2 linked regions of the Kluyveromyces lactis genome follow. The main gene of each other region encodes a partner of the protein of the gene in region 2 in a complex. Links are inferred from orthologs where the notes say so. Each region holds a gene or a part of one and is shown on either strand. Other genes may lie near its edges. The genes, in order: RPC19 and RPC17.

Evidence for each region.
Region 1: RPC17 (region 2) and RPC19 share a complex: the UniProt entries of both Saccharomyces cerevisiae proteins name them as parts of the RNA polymerase III (Pol III) complex. The link is inferred for Kluyveromyces lactis from reciprocal best matches to the Saccharomyces cerevisiae genes RPC17 and RPC19.

Annotation. Positions count from the first base shown.
Region 1 is NC_006042.1:2,217,879-2,219,879, forward strand, and holds RPC19 (DNA-directed RNA polymerase core subunit RPC19), read right to left. Parts: upstream 1,061-2,001; coding exon 677-1,060; downstream 1-676. Other genes in the region: DEAD-box ATP-dependent RNA helicase DBP2, read right to left, coding at 1-251. UniProt on the Saccharomyces cerevisiae protein: DNA-dependent RNA polymerases catalyze the transcription of DNA into RNA using the four ribonucleoside triphosphates as substrates.
Region 2 is NC_006042.1:2,114,240-2,116,962, forward strand, and holds RPC17 (DNA-directed RNA polymerase III subunit RPC17), read right to left. Parts: upstream 982-2,723; coding exon 514-981; downstream 1-513. Other genes in the region: VTC4 (Vtc4p), read right to left, coding at 1-286; CRH1 (transglycosylase), read right to left, coding at 1,291-2,691. UniProt on the Saccharomyces cerevisiae protein: DNA-dependent RNA polymerase catalyzes the transcription of DNA into RNA using the four ribonucleoside triphosphates as substrates. Specific peripheric component of RNA polymerase III which synthesizes small RNAs, such as 5S rRNA and tRNAs.

The sequences.
Region 1 (2,001 bases), about 100 kb from region 2:
ACATCTGGATGTTCTTGGTAAAAATTCTTTTCGAAAACTGGCAAATTTGGTAGTTCTTCGTCCCAGTTTGGAGCGACCAAATCAACTCTGGTATCACGAGATGGACCACGACCAAAGCTACGGCCACCGCGGAAGTCATTACCTCTGTTGTAGCTGTTTCTGTCAGAACCTCTGCTACCACGGAAGTCACCATGAGTGCTGCCCATGTTGTTTCTGTTAAATTGATGATCTCTTCCACCGCCGAAACTCATTGTTCTCTGTATAATGTGTGAAATAAGTTGCTTGATGTTGAGAACCAAACGATAAAAAAAAATGCACACTTGTAATACTGAATGAACGAGGATCAGAGACAGGTTTGAATAATGTTTGCAGCTTATATATTAGTTTCAAAGGGCGATGAGGGAACTTGCAAATTTTTCAAAAAGAAACAAAAAAGAGAGAAAAAGAAATTTGTACCAATGTACCAATTTACCAAAATGGTCACGTGATTACATTAGCCACTCCAGCTACTTTTGCCAATGGTATATCCAACGGTGCTTCCAATGTGCTAGATTACCAGTAGCTATAAACGTAGAATCAATAGATATTATAGTGTATTATACAAGGATGATGTAGTTGTGTATTTAATTCTATTCTCTTATATATAGTTAATGCGGGAGCTGGAGATAACCAATTTCTACATTTCCCTGATTCTTTGCGTGAATCTGTCCTCTACAGCATCACACATGTCCATTAGATCTCCAAGACCCTTGTGCAAAGCCTCTACAGCAGTAATTTTGCCGTATGTTTGAATTCTAATGTGCAAAAAGTTTTCTGAAGGATGAGGAATAGAGTAACCACAGAATTCTACCTCCGGGTTTTTCATGATCATATAACGAAGCGTGTTACCAAGGGTATGATCTTCATCTGTTATTCTGAAAGAAGCACTAGTACCATCTTCGGAAGTAGCTTCTGTGAGAAGTTTGATCTTTTCACTGTCCACTTCTTCCTCCACTTGATCAACTTGATCATTTTGTTCAGCTGCTAGCATATCAACATCTTGCTTTTCCACTTCAGCCATATTTCCGAGAGCGCTTATGAATGGTCACTTAGGTGGTTTGTGCGTACTTCTTTCAAACAGTCAATAAGACGAGATGACCTACTCTGTTAAGCTGAACAATTTGTCAATATTGATTATGGTTTTTTCGATAGAGAGAAGAGGGAAAACCAAATCATGCTAAAGGAAAAAACAAAAAGCTTACCCGGTCTTGACCGGGTAACTGAAAGAAGCAAGTTGATGCGAAATACCAGATCACGTGTCACACACTTCATCAGTTACCGCGCAATGCACAGGTGTTGCTCATAGCCACGCTCAGGGTACCACACCATAGTATATAAACAACGGATCCCGAACAAAAAGCAAAGTAAACTAAAAGAAATGAGAAAATGCGACCAAAGCGAGACATACCCAAAGTCCCTTGGCAAAAATCATCAGGGGAGGCCGTTACAGAATTAGCATAACAATCCGGGTCAAGTATCAAATATCATTCACAAATCATAAAACAAGGACAGTCCGTATACCTAACCAGTTATCAGCTAAAGTTTCCATCATCACGTATAGTGCTGTTTCCAATCTGTTGAACTAATATCATCATTCCACGGAAAACCCCTTACAAAACACCGTACAGACACGACAGGATCAATCAGTTTTCCTTCTCCCTTCATTCATCATTGCATTTTTCAAAAAAAATACCTATAAGAAGGAAGGTATAAAAAAAAGTTTTTTCTTTTTTTTTCAATCTTGGTTTTCTCATCGTTACATTATCATTTTGGACCAAAGCCCAAAAAATAGTTGTTACTTTTGATATCAGTTTGTTGTTATTGGGGCAATCAAAATAACGATATTGAATTTCGGTATTGGTACTGGTATTATTGACCATTAACGTTTAATATTTCACAATTTACCCTTGAGATTTGGTGATAGGAGATCTGAGTGTTGCATCTCCGTTTTAGTAATAGGTT
Region 2 (2,723 bases):
TAACCGGAACATTTGTATCCAAAGAACGCACAGCGACAGAAACTTGTTCCTGGGCTTGCTTGATACGACGCACTACCTCGTTATGCTTCACTTTGCAAAAAGTGTACACTTTATCCAATTCAATTTCCAAGGACTCCAAAAACTGAGTCTCCAAATCCTCGTTCCATTTTCCGTTGTTAGCTTCCAAGGATTCCTGTAACTCCGTCTTCAAGTCATTGTAACTGATATAGTAATAACTGTACTCACGAATCAAAGATCGCTTCAAATGTTCACCAAATTTTACCATCGTTATCAGTATCAGCTATTTCAAAGGTCCTGATGCAAGTCTAACCCACTCAGAAGCCCTGATAACTACTTTATTCTAGGGTATCCCTTTTTTCCCTTATACTGTCACTTGGAAACATTGAAACTCATGTTCCTGATCTTTTTTCTCATTGTATTTCGGTCTGTTATATGTGATTTTTTTCTCCAAGCATTTAAACATTATAGATATTGTATTATGGTGTATAATAATTAGAGGCACGTGCGGGAGATGCATTCGAGAAGCGAGGTCACCTGACCTTCGTCAAGTCTTGATTCGCACTCTTCGACTATGCTATACAAATGGACCAAGTTTGTTGGTAATTGGTTCACTATTTGTAGTTTTTCTGCTTTGTATAGTGGGAAAGCATTTAATTCTTGCATTAGTGTTGAGAATTGGTCTGTAGTTAGGTTCAGCAGTGTGGATTTGTTGGCGTTATTGGGTACGGTCTTGTCCGACGTTTCTGGTTCTTCTGGGTCTTCTGCTGTAGTGGAACGCTGTGTTATGTACCTTACCGTGTCTCTGGTTATCGTTTGCAGTTCTGGATGGTAGTATGGTTTGTTGTGTTTCCTGTCTGATTTTGATCCAGAGGTCCATCGGTGTTGATTCTGTAATGATATGAGGAACTGCAAAGTTTCGTAGTCGCTCATAAAAGCGTTTTTTTCCTCAAGCACGCGCATTTTCTTGGAATTTTGTTATATGAGAAGCTTTTTACTTGGATAATTCAGTATAGGCCGATACAGTCTTTATTACTTGCTACTCTTTGATCTCAACTCAGCTCATCTCTTCTCTTTGCATGGCTTTCAATATATTCGAAGCGGTGAAAAATAATCCCGTGTATCATGATTTAGATGAACGAAACAAGTGCTCAGGGTATACGTATCCTGCTTTGTGCATACCAGTTGCATGGCTGATGCTGGTACCATAGCGATTAAGATGCACCTATTAAAATTCAACGAGGTTAGTTTATATTACAAAATGACTATTTATTAGAGAAGTAGAAGTGCTGGAATGATAGCAAGCAATTGCGGTAAATTGAAAGCAGCAGCGTTTTCTGACTGTGTGGATGTTAAAGCAGCTGATGAGCTTGTCTCGCCAGTGGCATACGATGTGATCTCTTCGTCAGCAGCGGTGGTAGTGACCAAAGATGAGAAACCTGTGGTCACAAGTTCTTCCGTGGAAGTTATTAGAGATTCAGTTGTATTCAACTGAGTTGAAGAAGATGATAGGGAAGTGGAGGAAGATGTTGTGTTCAATGCAGTAATACTGGATGATGAAGCACTGGTAGATGAAGCACTAGTTGTGTTCAAGGTGCTTTCAGTGGAAGTAGTTGGAATTGTGGTACTAGATTTAGAAGTCGTAGTGGGGGAGGATGAGGATAAGGATGAGGATGATGATGATGCGGATGAGGATGAGGATGAAGATGAGGATGAGGAAGTGGATGAAGATTTGGATGTAGATGGAGATGCACTTGTCTTGGTTGAAGATGAAGATGTGGAGGATGAGGAGGATGAAGATGAAGTGTCGTCTGATACGCTTCCACCAGAAGCTAACTTATCGAAATCTGCTACTCCTTGATCATATCTACCATACACCTCACCATCATTAGCTTCAATAGATTCCCAAGTACCATCGGTGCCTGAGTATGAGTATTCTGTACCAGTGGAGTAATCAACAACGATAACGTCTTTCAAATACATGCTGAATGGAGCTTTGGTATAATCGGTCAAACCACCTGCCCATTCAATGGTTCCGGGCTCGTTTTGGGAATCACCACCAGCCCAAATACCTGTGAAAATACGCATTGGAGACTCTGGGTATCCTTGACCATTGTCACTGGTGATAGTCCTTACCAGTGCACTGTCGACATAGATATTGATTTCATCCTTAGTCCAATCAATGGTATAATTGTGGTAAGAACCTTGAGGATCGTCCACCGAATGGAAAGCACCACGGTCAAATGTAGTAGTTTCACCCTTGGAGAAGAAATTGGATTGAACTTGAGTAGTATCAGTACCAGTCCATTCGATATCAATTTCATCAAGATCATCACTTTGCAAATAGAATGAGGAAATAATACCTTGACCACCGGCAGCCTTGGCAATCGCTTGAACTTTACCAAACATAATATAAAATTCTGAAACCAAACTTGGATTATCCAATCTCTTATTAATAGTCATTTCAACACCATCATCACCATAAGAAACATTACCGTTCGTGGCATATCTTTCAAAATATGAAGATTCCTCATCAAATGGTACAGAGATGGATTTACCCAAAGCAGGATCTGGTGAACATGTGCTGGCAGTCAAAGGATTACATGCTGTTGATTGAGCGTAGGCAACTGACGCCCCAAGGCCCAATGCACTCAAGGTATAGGTTAACTTCATTTTCGTCTGCTGTTACCTTTGGGATGTGATTC